Linked DNA regions of Canis lupus familiaris. The protein of the gene in region 7 interacts with the protein of the main gene of each other region in a pairwise test. Links are inferred from orthologs where the notes say so. Each region holds a gene or a part of one and is shown on either strand. Other genes may lie near its edges.

The links.
Region 1: the proteins of CEP57L1 (region 7) and MID2 interact in binary tests that used the Homo sapiens proteins (3 or more experiments, as listed by UniProt). The two-hybrid records come from large-scale screens. The link is inferred for Canis lupus familiaris from reciprocal best matches to the Homo sapiens genes CEP57L1 and MID2.
Region 2: the proteins of CEP57L1 (region 7) and RAD51D interact in binary tests that used the Homo sapiens proteins (3 or more experiments, as listed by UniProt). The two-hybrid records come from large-scale screens. The link is inferred for Canis lupus familiaris from reciprocal best matches to the Homo sapiens genes CEP57L1 and RAD51D.
Region 3: the proteins of CEP57L1 (region 7) and KATNAL1 interact in binary tests that used the Homo sapiens proteins (3 or more experiments, as listed by UniProt). The two-hybrid records come from large-scale screens. The link is inferred for Canis lupus familiaris from reciprocal best matches to the Homo sapiens genes CEP57L1 and KATNAL1.
Region 4: the proteins of CEP57L1 (region 7) and KLC3 interact in binary tests that used the Homo sapiens proteins (3 or more experiments, as listed by UniProt). The two-hybrid records come from large-scale screens. The link is inferred for Canis lupus familiaris from reciprocal best matches to the Homo sapiens genes CEP57L1 and KLC3.
Region 5: the proteins of CEP57L1 (region 7) and CCDC136 interact in binary tests that used the Homo sapiens proteins (3 or more experiments, as listed by UniProt). The two-hybrid records come from large-scale screens. The link is inferred for Canis lupus familiaris from reciprocal best matches to the Homo sapiens genes CEP57L1 and CCDC136.
Region 6: the proteins of CEP57L1 (region 7) and TXLNA interact in binary tests that used the Homo sapiens proteins (3 or more experiments, as listed by UniProt). The two-hybrid records come from large-scale screens. The link is inferred for Canis lupus familiaris from reciprocal best matches to the Homo sapiens genes CEP57L1 and TXLNA.

The regions. Positions count from the first base shown.
Region 1 is NC_049260.1:81,967,037-81,971,027, forward strand, and holds the start of MID2 (probable E3 ubiquitin-protein ligase MID2), read left to right. Parts: upstream 1-1,191; 5' UTR 1,192-1,312; coding exon 1,313-1,316; exon of another isoform or gene 1,317-1,407; intron 1,408-1,931; exon of another isoform or gene 1,932-1,953; intron 1,954-3,991. UniProt on the Homo sapiens protein: E3 ubiquitin ligase that plays a role in microtubule stabilization. Mediates the 'Lys-48'-linked polyubiquitination of LRRK2 to drive its localization to microtubules and its proteasomal degradation in neurons.
Region 2 is NC_049230.1:38,224,477-38,227,976, forward strand, and holds part of RAD51D (DNA repair protein RAD51 homolog 4), read left to right. Parts: exon of another isoform or gene 1-32; intron 33-214; coding exon of another isoform or gene 215-271; exon of another isoform or gene 272-641; intron 642-3,205; coding exon 3,206-3,370; intron 3,371-3,500. UniProt on the Homo sapiens protein: Involved in the homologous recombination repair (HRR) pathway of double-stranded DNA breaks arising during DNA replication or induced by DNA-damaging agents. Bind to single-stranded DNA (ssDNA) and has DNA-dependent ATPase activity.
Region 3 is NC_049246.1:9,766,045-9,770,135, forward strand, and holds the start of KATNAL1 (katanin p60 ATPase-containing subunit A-like 1), read left to right. Parts: upstream 1-1,291; 5' UTR 1,292-1,439; intron 1,440-4,091. UniProt on the Homo sapiens protein: Regulates microtubule dynamics in Sertoli cells, a process that is essential for spermiogenesis and male fertility. Severs microtubules in an ATP-dependent manner, promoting rapid reorganization of cellular microtubule arrays.
Region 4 is NC_049222.1:110,906,957-110,911,097, reverse strand, and holds the start of KLC3 (kinesin light chain 3), read left to right. Parts: upstream 1-1,341; 5' UTR 1,342-1,384; coding exon 1,385-1,445; intron 1,446-3,955; coding exon 3,956-4,141. UniProt on the Homo sapiens protein: Kinesin is a microtubule-associated force-producing protein that may play a role in organelle transport. Plays a role during spermiogenesis in the development of the sperm tail midpiece and in the normal function of spermatozoa.
Region 5 is NC_049235.1:7,706,669-7,710,819, reverse strand, and holds the start of CCDC136 (coiled-coil domain-containing protein 136), read left to right. Parts: upstream 1-1,351; 5' UTR 1,352-1,371; coding exon 1,372-1,429; intron 1,430-2,170; coding exon 2,171-2,278; intron 2,279-3,897; coding exon 3,898-4,140; intron 4,141-4,151. UniProt on the Homo sapiens protein: May play a role in acrosome formation in spermatogenesis and in fertilization.
Region 6 is NC_049223.1:68,417,954-68,421,995, reverse strand, and holds the start of TXLNA (alpha-taxilin), read left to right. Parts: upstream 1-1,242; 5' UTR 1,243-1,391; intron 1,392-1,929; 5' UTR 1,930-1,961; coding exon 1,962-2,139; intron 2,140-2,772; coding exon 2,773-3,111; intron 3,112-4,042. UniProt on the Homo sapiens protein: May be involved in intracellular vesicle traffic and potentially in calcium-dependent exocytosis in neuroendocrine cells.
Region 7 is NC_049233.1:66,409,266-66,413,543, forward strand, and holds the start of CEP57L1 (centrosomal protein CEP57L1), read left to right. Parts: upstream 1-1,478; 5' UTR 1,479-1,611; intron 1,612-4,278. Other genes in the region: SESN1 (sestrin-1), read right to left, coding at 1-48. UniProt on the Homo sapiens protein: Centrosomal protein which may be required for microtubule attachment to centrosomes.

The DNA.
Region 1 (3,991 bases), on a different chromosome or scaffold from region 7:
TTCCTCTCTCATCCTCTTTGTGAGTGGGGTGGTGGTCTCTGAGCCAATGACAGGTCAGCCAAGAGGCTGACTCCAGACCAATGAGGCTTCCGGGTTCCAGATGGACCAATTAGCTTATTAGGGACATTATACCTGGATGGCTGGCATCTGTCCTATTGTCCTGTTTAACGACCCTCTTGTTTTGCCCATCAAGGATTTGGATGTGCAGATGAGACTCTACTCTCTTTTGTTTTTCTAAAATTTTGGTGGCTTTAATCCATCTCCACAACTTCTGCCCAAGGCCAATAAAACACAGGCATTCTCCCTTTGTAAAAAGAAAGAGGGGTTGGGTTTCCTTCAATTGTCTGCCCTTTTATGTGTCCTCCACTATTTTTGTTTTACTTGGTAGTTAACTTTGCACCGGAGCGGCTTCATCTGAGAACCAGTGCGGTGGACCTAGGCACTCTCTTGTCGTTGCTGGTGGCGATGGCCTTTTCCTTGTTCTAACCTGGTGGCTTGTGCGATCAGAGGGTTGGCGGGTGGGAAAAGAGTTTGGCCATAGTCTTCCTTCTGCATTTCGTACACATTCTGCGCTCTCTCTCTCTCTCTGTCTTTCGCTCACACACACATACACACACGCGCTCGCACACACACGCCCGCTCGAGCCCCTCGGTGTGTCTTCCTTCAAGATGACAGGGCGCTGGAGAAAAAGCTGCTGGAATCAGCTGGTAGGTACCGTAGTAACCCGAACCCCACCCACCCGCTGCCTTGGCTTGCTCAGGTTTCTCCGGTCACTCCAGCCAGGGGAGAAAACCTGTAAACGCGCCTCCACAGGAGGGGCTGGGGGAGCTGGGAGCGGCGGGGGTGGAGGAAGGTGAGACCGGGAAGGTGGTCAAGCGCCCCTGGTACCCGGGGCCCTTCGCAGTGTTACCTCGGGGCGCCAGCCCCAGCCCTGTTTGCCCCCCACCCCCCTTTTCGTAGGGATTGCCTTTTTTTTTTTTTTTTCCTCTGCGGCGGCGGAAATGACAGTGTGGTGCTGCCGTGGTGTCATGGTGCTGCCCCTGGACGAAAGGGCTAAAACTCTTTAAGTTCGTCTCTGGAGACCCAGCTGCGGTAGCGTCGCGGCTGCCGTGCTGTCTCTCGCGGGGCGCGCGGGCGGGCGGATCCCGGCTGCTGCGCGGCGGCGGCGGCGGCGGCGAAGGCGGGCGGCGGCCTAGAGAGGCGGCGGCGGCCCGGGAGCTCGCGCCGGAGCCCGAGCCAGCTCCCAGCGGAGGCAGGCGAGCGCCCGGCGCCCTCGGGCGCGCCAAGGAGATGGCTGGCACCCGGGAACGCTATGGGTAAAACGCGCCCCCTCGCCACGGCCCCGAGAGCCGAGGGGCACCGCCCGCACTCGGCTCGACCCGGGCTCCGGTTCCGGCCGCCTCTCAGGTGCCATTGGGGCCCGGCACGGGGCCCAGGGCCCCGGGGCTCGGCGGGGCGGCGTGACGGGGCACCGCGAGGCTCGAGGTGGCGGTGTCGGCGGTGGGGGCCCCGGCCTGGCCTGGGTGCCCGTCGCTGCCCTCTTGGGACGGAGTTTGCACTCCGGGGTGTGGGGCGGGGGCGGCCCGAGGCCTCCAGCGCCCCGACTCGCCTGGCGCGGGCAGTCGAGCGGCTGCCCCGGTGCCTGTGCGTGAGTCTGGGAAAGGGCACCGCCGCCTTCCCACGCTCCCGCGGCCGATAGCCTTCTTGACACGGGCGGCGCCCCTCGACCGGCCCTCCACGCGGCAGTGGCTGCTGCAGCAGCCAGGGATGCTGCGGACACCCTGCCGGCGGGGAGGCCAGATGAAACTTACTCCCTTTTCTGCCAGGGGAGCGATTCCCGGGTCTCCGTCTGGGTGGTTCCTTATTTCTGGCCTAGCCTTGAAACCAGCTCAGTGGGAGAGAGGGAAAACTTCTCTATGTCCAGAGGACAGACTGCGACCGTACCGGGGAGAGGTAGGGTTTTTCCATTCCTGCCTCTTAAGAATGGAGTAAATAACGGCGGACTAGATTTACAGAAACAGTTTCGGTAATGATGAGCTTTAGGCCACTTAGCACTTTGTGTGTAGCACATTATTTCTTGGAGGCGTTTTGTGGTTTTGTGGTTGTGTGTGTGTGTGTGTCTGTTTGTTGTTGTTTGATTGTTTTTTTTTTCTTTTTTTTTCTTTATTGGTTCTCCCTCCCACCCAAACCCCACAGAGCAGGAAATTGGGATCCTGGGGTCTTGAGTTTTCTTCACTTTCTCTCTTCCATGCTCCCTTACCCTTCTTCGCAATCACTTGCCCTCTTCCTGCGTTGTCACACACCTACCTGCCCACCCAGGTCTCCCAGCAGAACGCACCGTCCCCCCCAGACTAACCCCCACCAACCTGCGTGCGTGCTCCACCTGCCTCCCAGCCCTCCAGCCTCTTGCTCCTCAACCAATTTGCCTTTTTGAGGATTTCTGAGTGTGGGGTAGGTGCATGGTGATGGTTGTGTGCCTGTGAGGAGGAGCCCTGATACAGGAATATAGTGGAAACTGTATAAAAAGACCAGTCATGTATGTGGTTGATTCCTTGGATTCTCTAGTTGGGCGGCAAGGGCTGCCTTGAACCCTATTCTGTTCCCTCCCAATGCTCTCTAATCACTTCTCTGGTGATGTTCCAATAGAAGGGAAATGCTGAATAATAGGGAGCTTCTCTCTCCTCCTTCTGGCTTGACTCTAGCTGATTACCCCAACCCTCACATGCCCCCTTTTCTCCCCTCTGCAATCCTACTGACTGCCCTAAGGGAGAAACAGTCTGCTATTTTTATATATGCCTGCCCAATCAATTACCTTAATATAGATACATAATGTGAACGAGATTTTTCCTGGTCGTTCCTCACAACTGGATTTCTGTGGTTGAAATATGGGTCTAGGAGTCAGGAAGATCAGAGAGTTTATCCCAAATCTGACATCACATTGGTTTTATGGCCCTAGGACATTCCTATGACCTTTCTTTTATACTTGGTGTACTTGTGTAAAAGGCATAATACTGTATACTGGGCATTTTGAGGCTCTGCTTGGTCTTTTGAAGATGAAAGGGTTCTATAAACTCTCAGCATTACGCTTTTCAAATAAAGCGCTTCATTTACCTTTTTATGGGGATAATAGCTGGACTGGGTGTGAGGAGGAACTCTGGTTTACTGGAAACCCTAACTTACCATCCTTAGCCACCCTCCACCCCAGGAGCCAAATCTATCACCATACTCAGGACTCTGTTGTTTGTTGTTCCTAAAGCATGTACAACTGAATGAAAACATGCATAAAACTAGGCATACGGAGTAATGGTGATTATTTTAAGTTGAAGCTTGAATCATATCTAATGTACTCCAACCTAACAGTCTGAGTCAGACTCATTTGCAAACATAACCTCACCCATTTTTAGCCTGTATGGGGGCAGTTAATTTCTACTGAAAAGCGGCATAAATAATTTTAGGCCTGGCAATAGGAGCATGATTAGCATCTAGCAGCAGTGAGTCAACAATATTTACTGAGCACCTACAGTGTGCAGAGTTCTCTGCTGATGGGGCCAAGTTCCAGGTCTTGGCCTTCATATTTGGCCTCCTCATTTGAGGCCTCCTTCCTTACCTGCAGCACCCGGAGTAGGACAGGGAGGAGCAAGACAGGGGTAGAGGCTAGGGAAAACAAAGGGCTGATTGGCTCCCTCTTTCATGACCACTAGATCTCACCTGGCACGTTGTACCTTGCACGGTCACCCTGGGAAGCCCTGCTACAGGCCCCAGTGACTTAGTTTCCTCATGACTCTATCATCTGAACAGCGCAAATTGAGATGAAATTGGTTTAGTTAATCCCTCCTCGGAGTGCATGGCAACTTGCTCCAACTTGCAGATCTTAAATCGGTGCCAGGGGAGTCTCATAATTGCATCCAAAAATTGCTCTGGGTAGTGAGCCCATCCATTCCCTCATCCTTCCATAAAATCTGCTGATGCCATGACAGTTGAGAAGGAAACT
Region 2 (3,500 bases), on a different chromosome or scaffold from region 7:
TTGCTGGTCTTCTCTCTGCTCCCTGGGCTGTGCTGAGATGGGGGGACATGGATTCGATTTCTAGTTCCAGCTGTTTGCTTCCCTTAAATGGCAACGTCTGAACCCCCAAAGTGGCCCTTCTTCCCTGGGCCATCTAGAGCACTGGACTGTGTTGGGGTCAGACATAAAGAGCCAAGGGGTAAAGGACAGCCTCGGTTTTCTTTTTTACTTTAAGACAGATCTATCTAGGTATAATTCACACAGAGTAACTCCTCGTTCGAAGTTTGGCTAACAGATGCTAATGTATCCGGTCTCGTTACCCCGGCATAATCAAGATCTAGAATATTTCGGTCACCGCAGAGAGGTCCCTGAGCCCCAGACAACCACTGATCAAGTGTCTGTCCGTATAGTTTTGCCTCTTCCGGTGCTTCACAGAAAGGGATGTTTTTGCTTTCAACATCACTTTTTCTGCTTACAGAGTACTTTTTTAAAAGTCTGCCTGTTTCTCATAGAGTAAAAAATAGTTAAATATAAGAGACAAATGTGTAGTAAATCTCCACATCCACAGAAAACATATTAATATTTTTTATATATCTCCATAGGATCTTTTTAAAATTTTTTTATTTTTTTAATATTTATTTATTTATGATGGACATAGAGAGAGAGAGAGAGAGAGAGAGTGGCAGAGACGCAGGAGGAGGCAGAAGCAGGCTCCATGCCGGGAGCCTGATATGGGACTCGATCCCGGGACTCCAGGATCCCGCCCTGGGCCAAAGGCAGACGCTAAACCGCTGAGCCACCCAAGGATCCCCATCTTTTTATTTTTATTTTTTTTAAGATTTTATTTATCCATTCATGAGAGAGAGGCAGAGACACAGGCAGAGGGAGAAGCAGGCTCCCTGCAGGGAGCCCCATGCAGGACTGGATCCCAGGTCTCCAGGGTCACGCCTCTGGCAGAAGGTGGCGCTAAACCACTGAGCCACCTGGGCTGCCCTCTCCATAGGATCTTTACTCTCTGCATATATATATACATATACTTTTAACCAGCTTTCCAATTAAACTGTAACCTTATTTAAAAAAATAACTCATTTCATTCCACTTCCCATGTCTTTAAATAGATGCTTTAAGAATGCCATTTTTAGCAGTTACATATTTTATGTAATACCTGTGTTAGGGATCCCTGGGTGGCGCAGCGGTTTATCGCCTGCCTTTCTTTGGCCCAGGGCGCAATCCTGGAGACCCGGGATCGAATCCCACATCGGGCTCCCGGTGCATGGAGCCTGCTTCTCCCTCTCCCTGTGTCTCTGCCTCTCTCTCTCTCTCTGTGTGGCTATCATAAATAAATAAAAATTAAAAAAAAAAATCTTTAATACCTGTGTTACTGGGGGTCAGCAAACTTGTCTGCAAAGGGCCAGACAGTAAATAGTCGAGGCTCTATGGCGATAACATTGACGTCACAGCTCCTCAGCTCCACCTGGATTGCGTGAGAGCAACCACAGACAGTCCTGAACAGAGGGCGTGGCTATGTTCCAGCCAAACTTGATTTTCAGAAACAATTTTGGGGCCATATTTGGCCTGTGGGGAGTAGTTTGCTAATACCCTGGTATCCCATAATGATCTATTTCCTCATTTGGTGCTTGGTAGGTCATACTGGTTTTCCTCTATTTTAAGTAAAACTCTGGGGTGCCTGGGTTTTATACATTGGACTCAATCTCAGGTCATGATCTGGGAGTCCTGAGATTGAGCCCCATGTCGGGCTCTGTGCTCAGCAGGGAGTTTGGTCGAGATTCTCCTCTCCCTCTGTCCTTCCCCACTGCTCACATGCTCACATTCTCTCTCTCTCTCTAATAAATAAATCTTTAAGGAAAACTCTAATGAACACCTTTATACCCTAACTTCATTGCACATTTCATATTATTCCTTTATATTATTCCCTCAAGATTTCAGTAATCTAAAAGTATAATAACTGAGTTAGGGATACACACATTTTTATTTCTTATTTTATTTTTTAAAAAGGTTTTATTTATTTGAGAGAGAAAGAGTAGCAGAAAGAGAGGGAGCACGAGCTAGGGTGGGCTTTGGGCAGAGGGAGAGGGAGAATCAGACTCCTTGCTGAGCCAGGAGTCCAACACGGGGCTCAATCCCAGGCATCCCGGGGATACACACATTTTTAAATATGTAGGTATGATATCGCTGAATTTCCAGGAAGGTCATACTAATTTCTACACCCACCAGCAGTGTTCTTTTGTACTTAAGTTGAGTTCTAGGGCTTCTCTCTCCTGACTTTAGGATGTACGTGATCTGCTTGTGCCCCTGCCCCTGGTTGGAGGGCTGGTGGGGAGAATCTCATTAAAAGGGTGCCGTAAAGCTCAGGTTGCCTGCCCATGACTATCCTGGGCATAGTAGAACTGACTGACCAGACTATGACCTCCCTTTCAAAGCTCGCACGACTCCCCTACACACAGATGTGCTCCGTGACACAAAGCACGGGGTGCATGTGGCTTCAGAATGCCTGTCTGGGGATGCCTGGGTGGCTCAGTGGTTGAGTGTCTGCCTTGGGCTCAGGGCATGATCCTGGTCCCAGGATCGAGTCCCACATCCGGACTCCTTGAGAGGAACCTGCTTCTCCCTCTGCCTGTGTCTCTGCCTCTCTCTGTGTATCTTTCATGAATAAATAAATAAAATATTTTAAAAAAAGAAGGCCTGTCTGCTGGGTTGGGGATAGGAGGCGCAGGCCCACCACTGGCTTCCCATCAGCAGAGTGCATACAGCCCTGCTTATTCCCAGACACATGCCTGTTACCTTCTGCTGTAATCAAGCCTGAGACATTGTGATTTTTTTTTTTTAAGATTTTATTTATTTACTCATGAGAGACACAGAGAGAGAGGCAGAGACACAGGCAGAAGGAGAAGTAGGCTCCATGCAGGGAGCCCGATGTGGGACTCAATCCCAGGACCCAGGATCATGCTCTGAGCCAAAGGCAGACAGATGCTCAACCACTGAGCCACCCAGGCATCCCAGACATTGTGATTTAGTGGAAAAAGTTAAACACAAGTGAGGACCCAGGGGGCTAGTTCCAGAGCTGCTGTCAATAACTTTGAGAGCCTTGGAGAAGTCATTTCTCTGTGCTGGGCCTCAGTCTTGCCACTTAAAGAATGAAAAAGCAGTAGGAACAGATGTCCTCACACTAGCATTATCAATCTGGAAATCTTTGATTCTGCTTCAGGTGACCAACCACATGACCCGAGACAGGGACAGCGGGGAGCTCAAACCTGCCCTTGGACGCTCCTGGAGCTTTGTACCCAGCACCCGGATTCTCCTGGACATTGATGAAGGAGCAAGAGCATCAGGCAGTTGGCGCAGGGCGTGTCTGACCAAATCTCCCCGTCTGGTGAGCCTGCCACAGGGGAAAGCTGGGAATCTGGGCCTTTGAGGGTGTCTGCATGCCCAGAATTCTTGGATGCTGAGAGTTGGCAACCAAAGAGGCTTTCTGCTTGGATAGCTTAACTCAAAAACTTAAC
Region 3 (4,091 bases), on a different chromosome or scaffold from region 7:
TCATTTTCCTCATCTGCAAAGTCTGGAGATTGGACAGAGACCATCTCCGTGGTTTCTATTAGAGTCTACAGCTCTAATAACGATGTTACAGATGCAGAGAACAGACTGGTGGTTGCCAGATGTGGGGATTGGGAGTAGTGGGTGAGGAGGGTGGTCGAAGGGTACAAATTTCCTATTGTAAAATAAGTCAGTCCTGGGGATGTAAGGTACAGCCTGGTGACCAAAGTTAACAACACTGTATTGTATATTTGTAAGTTGCTAAGACTGATCTTGAATTATTTTTATGTTTTTTTTTTTTTTTTTGAGGTACATTCACCTACAGTGAAATGTGCAGATTTTACGGGTACTATTCCATGAGTTTTGACAAAGGCATATGCCTCTGTAACCCGAAGCCTAAGGAAGAGACAGAGCTTCTCCATCACTAGAGAATTCCGTCTTCAGCCGCACCCCAGCCTCCCCTCCGGCCACCCCTCTTCTGACTCTTACCACGAAGGGTTAAATAAGATTTAAACATTGTTAAATGCCAGTCTTTGTTTCACAGTGGTCCATCGGTATCGACGCCCTGATTTCTCCAAGGCACTGGGCACTAGACATCGTCTCCATTTTGCAGAGTAAGGCGTTCCGCATCCGGGAGTGAACTGCCCCCGGGGATCCGCTGCCCCGGGTAGGGGCAGGGCGGGAACCGAGAAGCGGTTCTGCGGTTTCTACGGTTTCTACGGCCCCGGCCCCGCACCTCTGAGAAGGCTGCTGCAGAGTCCACAAACCATCACCTCAGGAATAGCATACGCCTCAAACGTTCAGCCCAAATCGGCGCCTCTTAGGCGTTCTCAGACCTCAACAATCCGAAAGGCCGTACGCTCTACACCTTACTAAGGGACTCCTCTCCACCCTGCTCCTCCGAAAGCGGCAGAGGGTGTGCAACACTGCAAATGGGATTTTGCTGGTGGAAAGGCCAAAGGGGGACGGGCCGGCCCGGGCCCGACGACCTTTACGGAGCCCGGCGGCGAGACGCCCGGCGCTGCCTCCTCCGGCGCCACAGCTACCGTCTCAGAATAGAGCGGCACCGAGGCGCTCCGCCGACCGCAGCGGACCAGCGTCCGGCCGAGGGATTGGCCGCGGCCGCGGCAGGGCTCGTCGGGCAGTCCCCGAGCTCGATCAGCCGCGCGTCCTCCTCCAGGTCACCGCCCGCCCCTCTCCGCCTCACCCTTGCGCCGCCCTTCCCCCGCACCCGGGCGGGGTTCTCAGGCTCCTCCCCCGAGTTGACTGTGAGCCTCTGTGCTCCCCCCACCGCTCGCCTCGCGGCTGCCATGGCAACCGTACGCCGCCGCCGCCGCCTCTTCACGCACGTCGGGAACTAACGGACTCGGCGGCCGCAGAGGCCTGTGCCCTTCCCCCAACCGGGCCGCATCACCAACCGGCGGCCGAGCTGCGGCACCTAGGTAATGAATCCGAGGGAGAGGGGCGCAAGCAGGAGAGCAGGTGGGGGGGTATCCAGGCTGACAGCCCCACCCAGTGTCCCGCCGCCTAGGCGGTGCGGCGGCGCGGCGGTCGGGGCGCCGGCAGGGGAGGTGGAGAACAGTGGGAGCTCGAGGCTCGCGGGGCATTATGGGGATCGTAGTTTAGCGGCCCCGCAGGCTTGCGGCCGTGGCGGCGTGGCCTGGACCGGCGAACTACAAAGCCCGGCGGCCCTGGCTGCTGGGAAAGACCGATAAACTTTGAGCCTACCGGGCCAGAGAAAATCTGTGTCTTTGTGGTGCTGGGGCTCTTGGGTGGTCGCCGAACTGCGCTCTGCGCTGGGAAAGGGAAGTGGAGGTGAGACTTGGGCTTCCCGTCCTGCCGTTTGGCCCGCCCCGGTTAACAGCGCTCAGCCCCACCCCGACTGGGCTGGGCCACCGCCCCCGGTAGTCTCGGTGATGAGCAGCCGCCCCAGCTGCAGGGCCTCGGGCCTGCGGCGCCTCTGACCCTCCCAGGTTGCTGCTGCCGCTCGGTGCCGAACCGTATGTATGGCACACATTTGATGGGAGACCGAGAAACGGTTTTTTTTAACAGGCCTTTCTCCTTTCCCTAATACGTTTATTTTTAGATATTTAATCATGTTTATTCTGAAGTAGCTCGGAGGTGTTTGCATATTAAAGCCATTAATAATTACTCAGAGGGCATTAATATTTAAAGGTCAAGTGTAGAAGTAGAGACCATGCTATTATATAGTAATACCTTAAAAAAAAACCGTTCTGCCTTTTGCGTTTTATTTATTGAGGGTCAATATTGTAAAATGAGCCCCCCTCACCCCTACTTAATACTAGCTTGAACATTACCTACACATATTTGAAGATTAATTTAGCTTTAAATTACTAGTGATTTTTAAAGCACAGACTGGTCTTTTTTTTTTTTTTTTTTTAAAGCAGTGAGTAGTAGTAATTATTTTCTTTGATTATTTTAATGTTCTTTAGAATTTCTCGGTAGCATGTTTTCAGAATGAAAAATGCCGTGTTCTACTTAAAAAAAAACAAAAAACAAAAAACTCTGCAATACACCTTAGTCCTTAGAGTTGGCTCAGGCCTTGGTGGTAAGGAAGCCCACCAGATTTAAAAAACCTGCCTTGATTATCTTTTAAAATTTTTTCAACAGGTAGATAACGATCCTAGAAATTTGGTATTTTATAGAGTATGTGGAAAAAATTGATAGTAGAGTGGTCTTATTTTGTGTGTTTTACATCATTTTTTTAAAAAAGAATTTATTAGCACAAGCAGAGGGAGCAGCTGAGGGACAGGGAGAAGGAGGCTCCCAGCTTAGCAGAGCTTCTTGATTCCCAAGACCCTGAGATCATGACCTGAGCCAAAGGCAGACACTTGACCAACTGTGTTTTATTTATTTATTTATTTTTAAACTTAAAAAAAAAAAAATTAGTTTTGAGAGAGAACAAGTGGGAAGGGGCAAGGGCAGAGGAGGAAACAAACTTTCCACTGAGCAGCAGGGAGTCTGATGCAGGACTGATCCCAGGACCCTGGGAGCATGACTTGAGCCAAAGGCAGATGCTTAACTGACTGAGTCACCCAGCTCCCCAGACTGTGTTTTAAACAAGAAAATAACACAGCGCCCCTACAAAATTCCCTTTTTCTCAAAATAAGACTGGCTTGTAAATTTTACTTAAAGTACCAATTTTTTACAAGGATATGGAAAGTAAATTTTGTAAGACCATTATAAAAAAATTGAGGCCTTATTAGGGGTTGGAAGCATTTTATTTGTTTATTCAAGATTTGTTAAGAACCTATTATATTGGGGACACCTGGGTGCCTCAGTGGTTGAGCGTCTGCCTTTGGCTCAGGGCGTGATCCTGGAGTCCAGTGATCGAGTCCCACATCGGGCTCCCTGCATGGAGCCTGCCTCTCCCTCTGCCTGTGTCTCTGCCTCTTTCTGTGTCTCTCATGAATAAATAAATAAAATCTACAAAAGAACCTATTATATTGTATATTATGCCTGGTAGTGGGAATAAAAAGATGATAGAAGATAATCTGTGTTCTGTATGAGCAAACAGTTACATCATCACAATAGTATGATAGAGGTAGGTGCAAGTTACTGTAGGATCCCAGAGTGGGAATAAATAGTCATATAACATTTAACTGTTATTGAATACTTAATTTTAGTGAGGCTCCGTGCAGTATTTTGCACGTAGCCCATTATTTAATTCTCATAAAAATTTCTAGCTACTGTTATTTAGAAATGAGGAAGCAAACTAAGAGATCTTGTCCAGAGTCATAGGTGATAAAGTTTGAACCTGGGATTTCAACTCAGGTGGGGTATAACTCATTTAAGTCATGATCTCAGCCCCTGATGCCATTCTCTGTACCCATTGGTAGAAAGATTCTGACCCTAAGGAGATTAGGGGAAGTTTCCAGTATGGTGTGACATTTGACTTGTGTTAAGAAAGTTGAGTAACCTTTCAATGGAAGAGAAGATGAGGAAAGTCATTTTAGGCAAATGGCAAAGGATAATTTCTAGTGGTTTGTGTTTGCAGAACCCTAGGTCTTTCTTATACCTCAGTCCCAGAGTATGAGTACTTGCAGTGTAGTGGGTGGAAGATGGTAAAGTAC
Region 4 (4,141 bases), on a different chromosome or scaffold from region 7:
ATGAAACGCCGGGACACCTGCACCCCGATGTTTCTAGCAGCAATGTCCACAATAGCCACACTGTAGAAGGAGCCTCGGTGTCCATCGAAAGATGAATGGATAAAGAAGATGTGGTTTACTATACAATGGAATATTCCTCAGCCATTAGAAATGACAAATACCCACCATCTGCTTCGACGTGGATGGAACTGGAGGGTATTATGCTGAGTGAAATAAGTCAATCGGAGAAGGACAAACATTATATGGTCTCATTCATTTGGGGAATATAAAAAATAGTGAAAGGTAATAAAGGGGAAAGGAGAAAAAATGAGTGGGAAATATCAGAGAGGGGGACAGAACATGAGAGACTCCTAACTCTGGGAAACGAACAAGGGGTAGTGGAAGGGGAGGTGGGTGGGGGTGGGGGTGACTGGGTGACGGGCACTGAGGGGGGCACTTGATGGGATGAGCACTGGGTGTTATGCTATATGCTGGCAAATTGAACTCCAATAGTTTTTTTTTTTAAAGAAAAAAGGGCCAGTAGGGAAGGCCTCTCGGAGGAAGCGGCCTTTGTGAAGCTACCAGACTAACGAATGGCGTCTGTGGGAATAGGGGGGGCCCAGGCAGCGGGCACAGCCGAAGGCAAGGCCGGGCGGCGGGCGCTGCTAGAAAGCCCTCGGCCTGGGATCCCTAGTTTCCAAGGGTCGAGCTGCGCTGCACCCCGGCTTGGCAGCCTCCAGCGCGCTGGGCTCGCGCTCAGATTCGACGGGCCCGACAGGCACGCGGAGGGCTTCGCGGGTCCGCTGCTGCGCTGGCGCTTCCCCCGCGGCGGGCGGGCTGGGCTCCGCGGGAGCGGCGGGGGGCGGGGCGGGCTCACCTGCGGGGGCGGGGCTTCCGCCCGCCCCGCCCCTCGGAGGAGCCGCCCGCGGCCCGAGACCCAGGGCGCAGCTGGGAGCCGCCGGGCGTGCGCGGTGTGCGGGACGCGGCCCGGCGCATCTCGGCGGAGCGGGTCCCGGAGCCGCCGGCGCTCAGGTGGGCCCCTCGAGTGCTGGGCGGGGGAGTCCCGGGGACCGCGAGGATGGGGGCGGAGGGTGAGGGCTGGGCCCCGCGCACCCTGGGGCCCGCTGGCCTGGCGACGGGGACGGGCCTTGGGGCTCCTGGGCCCCCTGGGCCCTCCTGCCCCGCCCTGGGGCCCCCCCTCCCGGGTCCCGAGGCCCAGCTGGGGCCGCGCCCCCTCCCCGGTGCGCAGGTAAACAGGAGCGAAGACGGGGCGGGGCCTGGGGGGAGGAGGGCGGGGGCCCTTGTGACGGCGGGGGTGGGGAAGCCGGGGTGCGCGGGGCTGGGCCAGGCCGGCCGCGGTAAGGTGTGCGGTTTAGGGGGCTGGCCTGCAGGTGCGGGCGTGGAGATGGGGCGTATGAGAGGCGGTGTGCGAGGCTCAGGTGTGTGTGATGGTGTACGAAGCTCAGGTGTGTGCGCGACGGGCTCCGGCGGTGGGTGCGGGCGAGGAAGGGACAGGGATGGTCCGTGTAACCGTGTGCGGGCGCCCAGGGACTGTGGGAACGACGTGGAGCTGTCTCAGATGCAACACGTGGGCGGACCTCTGTGCGTCTAATGATGGGGGTGGGGGCCGTGTGTATGGGAGGGAGTTGCTCTGTTTATAGGATTAGGTGCGTGACTCAGAGCTTGCGTGGCTGGGGCGGTCTTTCTGCCTGTTAAGGCGCGGGGAGCCGCAGGGAGGTGGGCGATGTGGGACCCGCATGGACGGGGAGGGTGTGCCTGGGATTAACACTGTCAGCTGTGCGGTTGTACGTGTGTGAAAGGGAGTTTGTTGTTCACGGGACTGAGTGTGGGCAAAAATCATGGGAATAATGGAGCTGTCTGAATGACTCCATGAACGTGTGATCGTAACTTTGTGGGGCTTGTGTGTGACACGGAGTATGGTGAGACATGTACACACATATATACGTATAGTGAGAGAGACTGGTGTCTGCACACACGTATATGTAGAGATTGATGGCAGGGGAGAGCCTGCAGTGTAGAAAATCCGTGGATTATGTGCCTGCCTTCCTGTGTGTCTTGGTGTATGATGTTCGTGAGCAGGTAAGTAGGTACCCAAACCACTAGGCTGCTTACGGCGCCCTGGTGGCTTGAGTGAGGCACATGCCCGAGAGGGTCTATGCAAACACCTCTCTGTGTCTCCACAACTGAATCTGAGTTCAGGAATTGTCTGTATGTCCGTGTTTGAAGCTCTGTGTATCTGTGTGTATGCTGTGTGCAGGTGCGTGAATCTCTGGCTGGCCGGGCAAGGTGTTGGGGGAAGTGGGGAAGGAGATGATAGGTCCACAGTGAATCCCAAGAGTGTGTGTGTGTGTGTGTGTGTGTGTGTGTGTGTGTGTGCGCGCGCGCGCGCATGCGTGCCTGGAGGAGGTGATGGGCATGTAATGGAGAGCTAGCTGCTTGCAGGACCTTATAAGTGCGGGAAAGGTGTGTCATGGGGGTAACTGCAAAGAGATAGCCTGAATGTGAGTGATTTGGGATTTGGTTATCTTTTCACTAGTGAGGGGGGACAGAGTTTCTGTGTGTGTTGGCTTTTTTTCCCAAGAGGAAAATACACCAGTGTGTGGGATTATATTTCCAAGAGGGGAGAGCATACATGTGTTGTTTCTGAAAGAGTATGTGGGTGTGCGTGCACGAGCCTGAGTAAGTGTGTTGCGTTTTTTTTTTTTTTTTTTAAGATTTTATTTGAGAGAGAGAATGAGCCAGGGGAAGAGCAGAGGGAGAGGGAGAAGCCTATTGTGGGACCCAATTCTGGAACCCCTGGATCATACTTGAGCTGAAGGCAGGCGCTTAACTGAGCCACCCAGGCACCCTTGGATTAGGTTTTTTGAAAGGAAAATGTGGATGTGTAGGATTGTATTTTTATTTTTTAGAGGAGAAAGAGAGTGTCCTGTATGTCTTGCTTCAGAGAAAATGTATATTATGTTTTTAAGAAAGAAAGGAGTGTGCATGTTGAGCCGTCTTCTTGTAGAGGGGAGTGTGTGTGTGTACGAGCAGGTGTGTTTCTGAGAAAGTACGTATATATTGCACTGCATTTGAAAAAAGAAAGAGCAGGTATTCAGTTTCTGAGAGGAGGAGAACGTGTGTGTCGCATTGTGTATTTAAGAAGGGAGGGTGTGCGTGTGTTGGGGTCTGTTTCTGGGAGGGGAGTGAGTGTGCTTGTGTGTGAATACAGAGGCTACAGAGGCTCCAGCAGCTGTGTCATTGACTTTGTCACCTACATACAACCACATAAAGTGCCACACATGAGACCCCCACCCATTAGCATCTAGGCCTCAGACTCTGAGCTGTCACAGGGCTAGTGTGACATCCATGGGCCGTGCCTGTCACACGTGTGTCCCAACATGCCTTGGGCTGGCGGAGCCTGTCTGCAGTGGAGGGTGGAGTCCTTGTTCCCTTGGGATCCATCAGGCCCTGGGAGCTGACACACAGGCACCCCCCCATCCCCCTAAATCTAGAGGGCTCCTCTGCTTCCAGTGCCCCAGCCCCTTGGCCCTCTCCTCCGGCCCCACCCCTCCAGCCCCAGTGGTCCGACTGGTTCCCAACAAAAACACCCTAAGAATGAGCTCACGGAGAGGCCGCCTCCACATGCCCCGCCCCACACACCCAGCAGAGGCGTGTGCCTCCAGTCCAGGTCACACGGGGAGTCCTGGGGCCAGGTATCTGGGGCCCTTGGGATAGACAGGGCTGGCCAGGTGAGCTGAGGGCAGGTGAGAGGCCACGAGACCACTGGTTGCCCCAGATTTTGAGTGGCCCTCAGGGCAGGGCCCATGGCTGAGGACAGGCAAAGCTAGACTAGAATGTTTCCAGTTGCCAGCTGGCTGGGATGGGTGCGGGACAGGGAGCCGGCCAGGGTGAGGAGGGACTGATGGGCCTGCTTGCCTGGCCCTGACCCCCCAATCCCTGCTACCCACCCCAGGAACAGCAATGTCCGTGCAGGTGGCAGCCCCTGGAAGTGTGGGGCTGGGCCCGGAGCGCCTGAGCCCCGAGGAGCTGGTGCGGCAGACGCGACAAGTGGTGCAGGGGTTGGAGGCCCTGCGAGCAGAGCACCATGGCCTGGCCAGGCACCTGGCGGAGGCGCTGGCAGGACAGGGCCTGGTGGCTG
Region 5 (4,151 bases), on a different chromosome or scaffold from region 7:
CTTTGTCAGATGCTAGACATACACAAATGACTAAAGTACTTCCCAATCTTCCAGAAGTTGGGCAGACACAAAAGTAAAAACCTGACCTTGACAAAGTGACAGGTGCTACCCCAGGAGTAAAGAGGACAGTGTGGAGCACAGCAGGCCTCTACTGGTCTAGGGGTGGGCATCAGGAGAGGCTGCCTAGAGGTGACTCCTGACTGAGGGTTGTAGAATAAGTAGGTATGTCTAGGCAAAGGAAGGCTTCTTTCCTGAAGAATACAGAGGGCTTGTGAACACAGACAATGCACGTCCATAACCTGGTGAGTGGATAGCCAAGAAAAGGGATTGGTGTGTGTCCCTGGCTCAGGAATCTCCTAACACTTTCCTCGATGCATTGGGACTGCCTGGTTCCCAAGTGTATCCACTTCTTTCCTGGGTGAGACCTGTAGAGACCTGAGAACGATTGCCTCCTCTGATCCCGCACCAGGTAGATGTGCCCTGAATGAACGATTACGTGAAACAAGCCCTCTGGGTTTCCACGTCTCCCTTGTATGAGAGTGAAAATCAGCAGTGCCCACTCGGAACAGGCTCCAGAGGCAGGGTGGGTGGAAGTCGTGCATCGCAGCTCCTTGGGTGTGGGGCCAGGGGGGAAGGCAGAGTGGTGGAGGGAAGAGGTCTTCAGGCAGTGAGGGCTGCGAGGGGCCAAGGCACCGCCCTCCCGAGGGGGTTCGGGCTCTGGCTTGGTTGGGGCGCGGGGAAAGCAGGGGGGTCAGGGCCCTGCGGGTCACAGATCTCGGCCTTGGCTTCCCTTCTCCTGCCTTGACGCGGTCAGTCCCGGGACGCAAGAGGCCACCGCGCGGGGGTGGGGGCTGCGGCCGGGGTCCGCGCTGCCTGCGGAGGTGGGGGACGCGGGCCCCGCTTGGCGGGCGTGTGTCCGCGCGTTTGGAGGAAACAGCAGCGGAGGATGCGTCCAGCTTTGTGCTCTTCCTGCCCCATCCCCGCGCGGGACGGGGCTCGTCTGACACTTGGCCCCGAGGGGTCTCCGCGCGCAGCCGGCCCGGGCGGGACCCTTCGCCGGAACCAGGCGACCTCGCGGCCACTCCGGGACGGCCTCACGCTCCGAGGGCGCCCCCGCCCCCGCCCCCGCCCCCGGCCCCCGGCCCTGGGGTGAGTCTGGGGCCGGGCTCCGTCGCCCCCCGCGCCCGCTCGCCGCCCGGGTCCCGGAGGGCGGTGGAGCGAGGGCTTCCGGGCGGGGGTGGCGTCAGGTGGCCCGGCCAGGCCCCGCCCCCTCGGCCCGCCCTCCCTCCCCTGCGCACCGGCTCCGGGTCCCCGGCCTGGCGGCTGCGGCGTCTCCTCCGGGCGGCGACGGCAGCGGCGGCGCGAGCGGCCATGGAGGCGGGCGCCGGGGCGGGCGCGGGCGCCGCGGGCTGGAGCTGCCCCGGCCCAGGTCAGAGCCGCCCCTCCCTCACCTCTCCGCCGCCACTCCTTCCTCTTCTCCATCTCTCCTCCCTCCAGACCCCCACGTCCTCGCTCTCCCCCCTCTCCCTCCGCCGCTCCCACCTTTCCGTCCTGTCTTCCTCCCTCATCCTGCCCCTCACCCCGGGCCCGGTCTCCATCTTTCCGGGCTGGGTCTTCCCCACACCGGTCGCATCATCCCCTGGCGGTCTCTCGCCCTGCACCCCTCCACCCCGTCGGTCCGGCCCTGGGCCCCAGACCCTGCGCCCCCTCCGGCCGAAGGCTCGGAGCGCAGGGCGAGGATGGGGTGGATGGGTCCAGGCAGAGAACGGAGCGGAGGGGAGCGGCCCCGGCCCGGAACCCCTTGCCCCACGCATCCCCCCGCCCCGCATCCCCTCCTTCCCCTCCTTGCACCACCTCACCCTCTCAGCCTCTCTGCCCTGGCTCTCGCCCGTCTCCCTTCACAGCTAAAGAGACTGTGCTGGGAGAGGAGCCTGGAACTGGGGATGCCGGGGAGGTTGGGCAGCGCAGGGCGGGATCCCCGCAGGCCCAGCTCGAGGGGCGGCTGAGGGAGGAAAGTCGCAGCCGGGGCCGCGTGAGCCGAGCACTTCCACCTGGATTAAAAACTCTGGGGCTCCAGAGGGCTAGAAGGCACGTCCCCCTCTCCCTCCTGTGCACCCCAGCCCCCAGCCCCCTTAGTAGCCCACCGTGCCTCCTCTCTTCCTACCCACAGGACCCACAGTGACCACTTTAGGCTCCTATGAAGCATCTGAGGGTTGTGAGAGGAAGAAAGGCCAACGCTGGGGGTCCCTGGAGCGGCGGGGGATGCAAGCTATGGAGGGTGAGTTTTCCCAAAGAGCTTTCTTTCTCTCCCCTCAGCCAACTTCCCTTCCTTCCTCCTTACCCCATCTGGTCCCCAGAGCTCCCAGCCAGGACAGAGCCCTTCCTGTAGCTCACCTGAGCCCCCTCTACCCTTCAGGTCTGAAATCTACCCCTCCTCAGGGCTCAGGCTTTGAGGGAGGTTCTGGGTGCCTCCCTTTGGGGCCCTAATCACCAGCTAACCAGGTTGTGTGTCCCGGGGGGAGCTGCCAGACAGAGAAAGAGGCCTCGTTGGACAGAGCTTTGAAGCAGGCCTTTCAGCAGGGGGTTTGTTCTCACTGCCACCCGACCCAGATCCCAAGCTGTCTCATATTTTTGAAAAGCAGGGAAGTGAGCATGTGAAGTGAGCATTGTCCTTCTGGTGCCACCACCACTAACTTTGAATGTAAGCCTTTGTGGCTTTGGTTCTCTTAGGATCCCTTACAGCCTGAAAGAATTGCCTGGGAGGGGGCAGGTGAGAAGGCCAACCTCCCAACACTCATGTATCCCCACCGCACCCATGTTACTTGACAGTTGCTGCCAACACCAGACTCCTGGAAGGATGCTGATCCGTTTCCCAGGACTCCCTGTGAAGTGTTCCCAGGTCTCCACGCACACTGTGTGGGCAACCCTGCTCCTTTAAGGGGGACAGATGACACAAGGGGTCCCAGATGGACCTTAGGCTGCTGTCATGAGACCAGGGATTCAGAATTGTAAAACAAAGCAAATAATCAGTATCCTGACAAAATGTCGCTATTTCAAGGAACTGCATTGCAGCAAAGGAGGGGGTACTCACCAACCAGAGGCTGGGGACCAGTGCACCCCAGTTTCCTGATGCATTAAAATGGTAGGCTTTTTTTTACACACAAGTACAGCCTTGGAACTGAAACCTGAAGTTTCCTTCAGGTTTGGGGAGGGAAGTTAGGAGGAGGGAACTCATAACACTTGAGGAAGGGAGAGGCCTCCTAACAGCAGAGAAAAGGAAGTGGACTCTGCAGAAAATTTCAGAACAGCCATGTGATAGAATACATTTGAAAGGGCCTCAGTATTGGTCCAGTAAAACATTTAAAATCACTTCATTCAGATGTTTTCTTTTTCTAACTACCGATAGGCAACCCTTTCTTATTCTGGAAAAGCTAATTTCTTCCAAGCCACCTGGATAATTTTTTAACTTTGGACAAACCCCAGACTTTAACTCTTGTCCCATTTGGCCTAAAGACACGGCCAGCATCTGAATCCTTTCTTGAGTACTTGTCCCACTATGCAGAGACCACCAGGACTGCAAGAAGCATGTATCCTTGTGCAAGCTCACATAGCTAACCAGCACCCAGCTGCTCAGTTTGCCCGAAGTCAGTAGCAAGAGGCCACCTGGTACAATACTGGTCCAGGAAGGGCCTGGGTGGGGATGGGCTACCTCCAAACTTGACCCTTACACCTGAGGACTCATCACCGAGTGCAGGTCCTGCCGAGGGGGCTCCTTGGGGGACACCAGGTGGCACTATTATACCATCTCTGCCCTGGGACAATGAGCAGAAGGGCCCTTGAAGGACTCTGGAAAAGAAGTTGCCTCTGACCCCCTGGTGGGATGGGTTTCTCTCCTAGGGGAAGTGTTACTCCCAGCTCTCTATGAGGAGGAAGAGGAAGAAGAAGAGGTGGAAGAAGAGGAAGAGCAAGTGCAGAAAGGTGGCAGTGTGGGCTCCCTGTCTGTTAGCAAGCACCGGGGTCTGAGCCTCACAGAGACAGAGCTGGAAGAGCTGCGGGCTCAGGTGCTACAGCTGGTGGCAGAGCTGGAGGAGACCCGGGAACTGGCAGGGCAGCATGAGGATGACTCCCTGGAGCTGCAGGGTGAGTGCCTG
Region 6 (4,042 bases), on a different chromosome or scaffold from region 7:
TTACAAATGTTAAAGAGTTCTATCCAAAAAAAAAAAAAAAGGCTCTATCCAGACCTAGAGAGCTGGGACAGACTACAGAGCACTGGGAAGGGTCTGAAATGACCTTTGTGCTAGACCTCAAAATACTAGTTTTGCCAGAAGGGCATTTTGGAAACTGGACTAGCACCTGCAAAAAACTTGGAAATCCTGGAAATAGAGTATAGTGGGAGCAAAAAAGGCAAAGGGCATGGACAGAACTGACTGGAAACAAAAGCCAAGCCATTTACACATTAAATTCCAGGCACAGGGGTTGGTAGCTTTTATTCTATTATGTATAGACAGCTGAATATAGAACTGTGATCTCACATTTAGAGAAAGTTTGGGTTTTTCCCCTTGAGCCCATGGCAATTCCGATTTTGTCTGTAGAGGATGGGCCAGTCAGAGAAAATGTTCAGGAATTGGCTGAGGCCAAAGTTCTTGCAGAGCCCTGTCAACCCCTTCCAGAGAAGGACTCAAGCTGGTAACGCAGAGTTGGGGCGGGTGGGGGGAATAATTCCACCAAATTACCTTGACTCATCCTTTGAGAAAGTGCCATGGTGAATTTCTTCTGGGTACGAGTCAGGGTAATCCAGGAGGTAAAACGGAAGACTTTCTGATTTTGAATCCCTACTCACTACTCAATAGCGATGGGACAAGTTATTTAACTTTTGCCTTACTGTCCTCAGATGCAAATGGGAATAAAAAATAGTACTGAGCTTAGTAAATAGGCGGATTAAGCTAGTAGGTGGGAAAGCACACTGTAAGCAAAGAACTACTACTGTTATGAAAAGTTTTCATTTGAATACGGAAAATGAGGCCTGGGAAAGAAAAGAATGGCCCCTCAGCGAATTCGCGATGAAGTTAGAACTGGAATACAGGTCTTGATTCCCAGCCCAATGCTCTATCCCTTGTCATCAGAGTTCCTGGTCATAGATGTTCACAGCAGAGGGTTGAGGCTGGTAAGGGCGTGCGGGAAAGAACAGCCAGGCACAGGGCTCTGGACCTGAATCATAAATTCTGCACGACAGGAACCAGGCGGATTCCAGTATTCGTGCAGAATGACTAGCTCCTTTCAGACCTCCTGGGTATCCGCCTCCCAGGACTGAAGTCCTTTCTATTGCATCTTGGGAGTTGGGGGTCAGCCGCGGTGCATGGAGGGACATGTAGTCCTTTCCCTCCCCCTCCGCCTGCCCAACTCACCCGCCTCAAAGGCCGCCTCAGGCTGCCTTCGCTTCATCTTTCCCAGCAAGCCCCGCGAGAGCGCCGGCTATTGATTGGCTGTGGCAGGAGCAGGCGGCTTGGCCGGCAGCGGTTACCCAGGGTTTCCGGTGCGAGGCCAGAGCGGGCGAAGCCGTCAGGAGGTCGGCAGTGAGGTGCGTGTTGCGGAGGTTTGGGGGGAACAAGGCGACCAGCAGGTCGGTGGGCCTGAACACTCTCGGTCGGTGGAGGGAATCACGCCGATTCCGCGCGAGGGAGTGGGCTGGGGGGGGCAGGGCTGGTCCTGTGCGCATGCGCGGACGGGAGGCGCGCGGGGCGTGGGTGGCTGCGCGCGGGGGGGCCCACGTGGGGCTTGGGGGCCGGAGGAGGGATGGGAATCGAGCGTCCCGCCACGTCAGTCTCCGGCCCTGAGCCTATCCCGCGCTCGGCCTGTGGTAAGGGGGCTGTGTAGTGCCGGGAAGCGGCTTCGAGAAAAAGGAGGCCTCGCCTGCCGCGCTTCTGAAGCAGCGCCCCGAAAACCTGCCTGGGCGCGCCGTGCTCCTCCGACTGGCCAGAGAGAGAACCGTTGGCTCCCTCTGGTGAGGGACGGCCAGTGTGTCCTAAGAAGCTTTGTGCACCCGGGATTGGGATTTCGGATCCAGGCTGTGAAGAATTTTGAAGTCTGGAATATAGCGAGTGTGCTTGTTTCTATAGGATCTGTTTCCAGCCTAGCATTGCAAACCACAATGAAGAACCAAGACAAAAAGAACGGGGCTGCCAAGCAGTCGGGCAACACTTCCAACCCAAAAAGCAACCCGGGGCAAGCCGAAGTAGGACCAGAGGGAACCCAGGGGCGCCCCAGCCAGCCGGCTCCTGCGACAGAAGCTGAAGGTTCCTCCAGCCAGGCTCCAGGGAAGACTGAGGGTGTGTGCCATTTCTGCTTTCCAGCGGGCAGGGGGAGGAGTTTGTGGTGCGCCAGGATAGCTTCTGGAGTTCCAGGCCTAGGCCACTGTTTACCCAGGAAGGAGGAAATGTAGAATGAGAGGAGGACTGCCACCCGCAGATCCCTCTTTCCCCAGGGTGTTGATAGAGCCTCCCACTCAAAGCACAGGAGCAGAACTCTTAAGAGAAGGCTCTGACAGGGTTAAGTCAGGTGGCGCTCAGATGAGACACCCAACCAGCTAGCCCGGCTTAGAAATGCTGCATTCACCAGTGGGCAACTACTCTTCATGTTGGAGGCTTTCTTAGAACTTTTTTAATAGCAAGAAATGATTTTTGCAGGGAGGGGAAAGGGAGGGACTAGATGTTGAGCTCCAGGTACATGCCATCCCTATATGCTGGATGCTTTATTTCCTTGATTCCTTTCACATCTATAACAGACATGATTGGGCAATAGTGGGAAATAATCTTATTTTATGGGTAAATAAACTAAGGCTTAAAGAAAGTAGGCAACATTTAGCCCCAACCAGTAAGTTTGGGCCTGAAAAATCCCAGCAAATGGAATTAACCATCTTGTTTCTCATTTCTCATTCTGCCGCTCATCTTGCCCTGCCACAGGAGCACAAGCCAAAACTGCTCAGTCCGGGGCCCTCCGTGATGTCTCTGAGGAGCTGAGCCGCCAGTTGGAAGACATCCTGAGTACATACTGTGTGGACAACAATCAGGGGGGCCCAGGTGAGGATGGGGCACAGGGTGAGCCTGCTGAACCCGAAGATGCAGACAAGTCCCGGACCTATGCTTCAAGGAATGGGGAGCCTGAGCCAGAGACCCCAGTGGTCAATGGTGAGAAGGAGACCTCCAAGGGGGAGCCGGGCACAGATGAGATCCGGACCAGTGACGAGGTTGGAGACCGAGATCACCGAAGGCCACAGGAGAAGAAGAAAGCCAAGGGTCTGGGTGAGCAGAGGGCAGCTACTGGTGAGGTGGGGATGTTTGGGCTAACCTGCTGTCCCAGGATTCAGAGGAAATTACTTTCTGGAGCACCGAGTCACATTAGTTTGATCCAAGCAAGGGGTGTGGACCGTAGAACAGAGGGGTGTAGATGGGATCCTGTGTCAGCCAACACTATCTCTAACCTGCTCTGTAAACTTGGGCAAGACCTTTCTCCTTTCTGTTCCTTAGTTTTCGTTTCTCTACAGTAAGATTTGGACTAGCCCAGGGTTGAAAACACAAATAAGCCAAGTTAGACAGGGGACCCTAGGAGGACAAGACATTGCCTACTTCATCCAAAGGGGTGATTGCCATCTGGTCCCACCATGCTGATAGCATATAATACTACAGGCTAAGTGTAGCCAGCCTTTTTTTTTTTTTCCCCCCCTCATTCTTTTTTCTCCTTTTTTCCCCTTTGTTATTATGCAGTTAAGTGAAATCTCTCTGGATTTTTAACAATTGGCAACTGAAGAAAAAAAAAAAAAAAACAATTGACAACTAATATGCTGGGAGCCAAACAAAACTCGTGTGGGTTTTGGCCTACGTGCTAGTGCTTTGCAGTCTCCACACTGATCTTTCGAGCCTCTTGGGTTTGACACTTCAGGAGCCTGGTGCTGTGCTATGTACAGGAGCCCTCCAGGGAGACAGAAGGAAGCCCCTTTGACTGAAGCACAGTGAGAGAAAGTTATTGGGGGCAGGGGACTAGTGTGTATGTTAAAGAATCAGAGTTAAGTGATATTATACCTGTGTCTTAGTCCTTAATTCCCCACCCTCTGTTTGTCATCCTAATGGAAAGGGTTTTTTTTGTTTGTTTTTGGTTTTATTTTGTTTTGTTTTTTAAGATTTTATTTATTTACTCATGAGAAACACAGAGAGAGAGGCAGAGACACAGGCAGAG
Region 7 (4,278 bases):
TCTACTGCACAGCCCGTCCCATCTCACTTCACTGTCTCCTTCAGCCATGACAACCGGAGGGAGGGTCTCCTTGGGCCGCCTTCAGTTCCCCGTCGGCATGTCCCCACGAGCACTTGGTCACTTTTAAAACGAGGCACGTGAGAAGAAGAAAACCGGGGACATCGAGTCGCCGTGAAAACACAGCGGCCTCGGTGACATCTGGAACCACGAAGCGTCTTTTTGGACCGACGCGGGGCACAACTCACCCTTCTCTCCTACACGAAGGGGCAGGGCAGTCCTCTTGGCAGAGACACACGCACAAAAAAAGTTGGAAAGCTGAAACCCTGCAGCGCTGGCTTGGCCGGACAGGCCGCCTCGGGGAAGTGCGCTCCTCCGCCTCGCGGGGTCAGCGGATATCCTCACGTCGTGCAGCTGTCAAATCCCAGCTCTGCCCAGGAAGGCCGCTCGCAGTGGAAGGCGCCCCCAGCCATTCGGGGATTCTCGTCCGGGCGGCCACCGAGCTCCCGGGAGCATTCCCACCCCGCCCCTCCTCCGGCGCCAGGCCCTGCCCTCCGCAGCTCCGCCCTCCGCCTCGGCGGCCGGCCGGCAGCTGCCGGGGAAGCCTCGCCAAGCCCTCCTTGCTCGCCGGCCGCCGGGGTCGGAGACCCGGGCGCTCCTTGGAGGGGGGAGGGTGCGGGGTGCAGGGTGCAGGGTGCAGGGCGGGGCAGCCTCTGCAGCCGCTGCCTCGGTTGCAGCGTTGGAGGAAAGCGGCCCCGGCCCCGGCGACGCCGGAACCCCGGGCAGACGCCACTTCTTTTCCTCTACCTGCGTCCTCGCCCACCGCCCGCTAAGCCGGACCCGCGCAGGGCCGGGCCGCCGAGCTGGCGCACAAGCGAGGCCCCAGGCGCAGAGCCCGCCCCTTCGCCCAGCCCCATCGGTGGGGCTCGGCCCAGAGGGCGGGAGGAGGGAGGGGAGATGGGGGTCCTCACCCCCCTGCAGCCCCTCCCCTTTCTCCGCCCGGCATAAACCAGGAGCCGCCCCTGCCCCAGCGCCCTCTTCCCCGCCCAAGCAGACGCGACCCGCGGAGGCAAAGCCATTGGAAAGAGCCCCGCCCTCCGACGGGCTACCTCCGGACCCCAAGTCCGCGCCCGGCCGCCAACTGCAACCGGCTGCTACGCATGCGTGATGGCGAACAGAGCGCATGCGCCGAACGGACTTTTTTTTTTTTTTTTTTTTTTTGCGTCGGGGGCGTTTCCGTCCCGTGACGTACGGATTCTCCCGGCTCGGAGCCGGGGAAAGAAAAGTTAAGAAGTACAAGTACAATGAAGCTATTACGGAGAGAGGCCGAGCACGGCCAAGAGGGCTTAGACACACACCTGGAGGAAACCGCATCCTCACTTAAGATCAGCTTGGAAAGAGTGACGGTGTCTTTATTACGCCAAATCCGAGATTGAAGAAGGCAGGGGTGGGGGTGGGATGGGGGGGGAGGGGGCGTCGTCGCATTGGCTTCTGGGAAGTGTAGTTTTGATGTACCGGCGCGTTCTGCGGGCGATAGAAACTACAGTCCCCAGGAGCCCCTGCGACGTTGCCCGTGGCGGCCTTCGAGCCAACGGTTAGCGCGGACGGAGCTTGGTAAGCGTCGATTTGGGGAGCGCTGGGGGGTTTCGGCTGCCAATTGAGGCTTTTTTTTTTTTTTTCCTTCGTTTCCTCAGGGATTTTGGAGATCGAGGCATCTAGAAGATGGCCTCTTAAGTCCAGGGGGTTTTGTCCGGTGTGTCTGGGAAGGAGTAGCGCGGGCGCCCCGGGCGGAGGGCGCGTTGGGGCGCGAGGAAGGGATGCGGCGGGAACGGCTGCCCCGCGCGCGGCCTCCGCTCGCACCTCTGCCGGGGGGACCCGCGAGGGCGGCCTTAGGTGACCCCGTGCGCTGGCCCTGGCGTCCGCCTTTGCGCGGGGGATGTTGTGTGTTTTCTGCGCCCAAAGGAGATCCCGAGCAGAAGCCAGTTGTCAGATTCATTTTGCACGAGAGACTAAGGGGAAAAGAAGAAACCCCAGCATCCCTGGATGGGAACGTTTGCAGCCTTCCCCCCCCCCCCCCCTTAGGTGATGCTATTTAAAAAAAAAAAAAATCTCCCAAGATTTAGTATGTTTGTTTGTTTTTTTTAAGATTTTATTTACTTAATCATGAGAGACAGACAGAGAAGCAGGCTCCATGCAGGGAGCCGGATGCGGGACTCGATCCTGGGTCTCCAGGGTCACGCCCTGGGCTGCAGGCAGCGCTAAACCACTGAGCCACCCGGGCTGCCCGATTTTATTTTTTATTTATTTTATTTTATTTTATTTTATTTTATTTTATTTTATTTTTATTTTAAATTATTTATTTATTTATTTTAATTTATTTTATTTTTTATTTTAAAGGATTCATTTGCATAAAAGGTTCATGTTTGTTTGTAAAAAAGTCGTACCTCTGGAGAAAAGTCAAGGTGTGAAGGGCCGTCCGGTTCGTCAATGAGATTTTAATTCTCCGCATGGTGGGATGGATGGCGTTTATTACACCAGTGGAGCCGTGGAGGGGCCGGGGCGGCTCAGTTCCCCGGGTGGGGAGTTCGAGCCCCGTGTTGGGTGTAGAGGCCACTTAAATAGAAACTAAAAAAAAAAAAAAATGATAATGATAATAGTAAAGTCAAATAAGTTATTTTAGATAACTTAGTTAAATTTTAAATTATAATGATAATAGTAAAGTCAAATAAGTTATTTTAAACAGCGTACTTAAGTTTTAAATTTAAATTCCGTTTTTGAATTTTAGAAATTTCTCCTTGTGAGGTGCTGAGTATGCAACAGGGGGAAAAGCCGCAGCCCCCTCTCCAGTGATGGCATCTGGTAGTAAAATACACAATTACAGTACACAGTATGGTAGCTGGCTATCTGGGACGTCTAGAAAGAGGGTCTCTTGGCTTAATCCTGGAAAGTCAGGGAAATTCTTCATCCCAGGGAAAGAAGACCGGAAGAAGCCTATGGTGAGGCTCAGAAGGGAGAGAGAGAGACAGTACTTTCAGGAAACTGCAATAAGCCAAAATCCCCTCTATTTTGGGAAGGGTAACTTCCTGTGTGTTGATCTACTTTGAAGCCGCAAAGAGACCAGCCCTGTGAATTTTCCGGATGGTTTCTGAGAGTGACCTGACCTTGGACAGATTTGACAGTTTAAATGAATTAGTCTGATTTGAAAAGGCCTTGCTACTTTTATGCTACTTGGTTTAAATCTGATTTAAAAAAAAAAAAATGTGAACTTGTGAGTATGATTTCAAAAAATTTAAAAAGACATTCCTTTTTTGTCCTTTTTTGGGGCTCCTCCTCCTTGTCCAATGCATAGCGTAGTTTCTTAAATCTAGATCCCCTTTTGCCTGCATAGTTGAGTCTGCTCCCATCCATACACATGGTTCCACTGCCACCTGTGACTTGTAGACGTATAGCTCCATCCAGCTGTACCCATGATCTACGTAAGCACAGCCTTTTCCAAACTGCCGTAATCTGTTGCCAAGACCATTGTCATAGTGATTGTTCACTCTGGCCTTTCTCCATTAGTTCTCCACACTGGAGCCATACTGAACTTTTTGAAATGCACGTCCTGGCCAGACTTCTCTTAAAATCATTCATTGCTGTCTCACTATTCTTAAGGCAAAACTTGTTTGTAAAAAGCCTAATAGCCTCTGGTCTCTTTCCACCACTGCAGCCTCACTTCGTGTATCTACCACTCTCCACCTCTCGCTACTTCAGCCATACAGATCTTTCTTTAGTCGCTGGTTTTCCTATTTCCACCTAATTTCAAATTTCCAACATATCTGTTGAGTGCTATGTAATGGGACAAGTACATATGTCATTGAGCACAATATACATTGACACTTGAACAACATGGATTTGAACTGCACAGGTCTGCTTACAAATGGATTGTTTTTTGATAAATACAGTACACTAGTGTAAATCTATCTTCCTTATGGCTTTTGTAATAGCATTTTCTTTTTTCTAGCTTACTTATTTTAAGAATACTGTATATAATATGTATACAGAGTATGTGTTGCTTATGTTATCTGCAAGGCTTCTAGTCAACAGTAGGCTTCTAGTAGTTAAGTTTGGGGGGAGTCAAAAGTTCTATGGATTAAAAGTTGTGGGATTTTTTTTTTTTACTTCCTGGTGGGGAGTTGGCACCTCTAACCCCCCACGTTGTTCGAAGGTCACCTGTACAAAAGTTCCTACTCTCATTGAGCTTACATTCTATTAGGGAGAGATCAACAATAAATATATAAT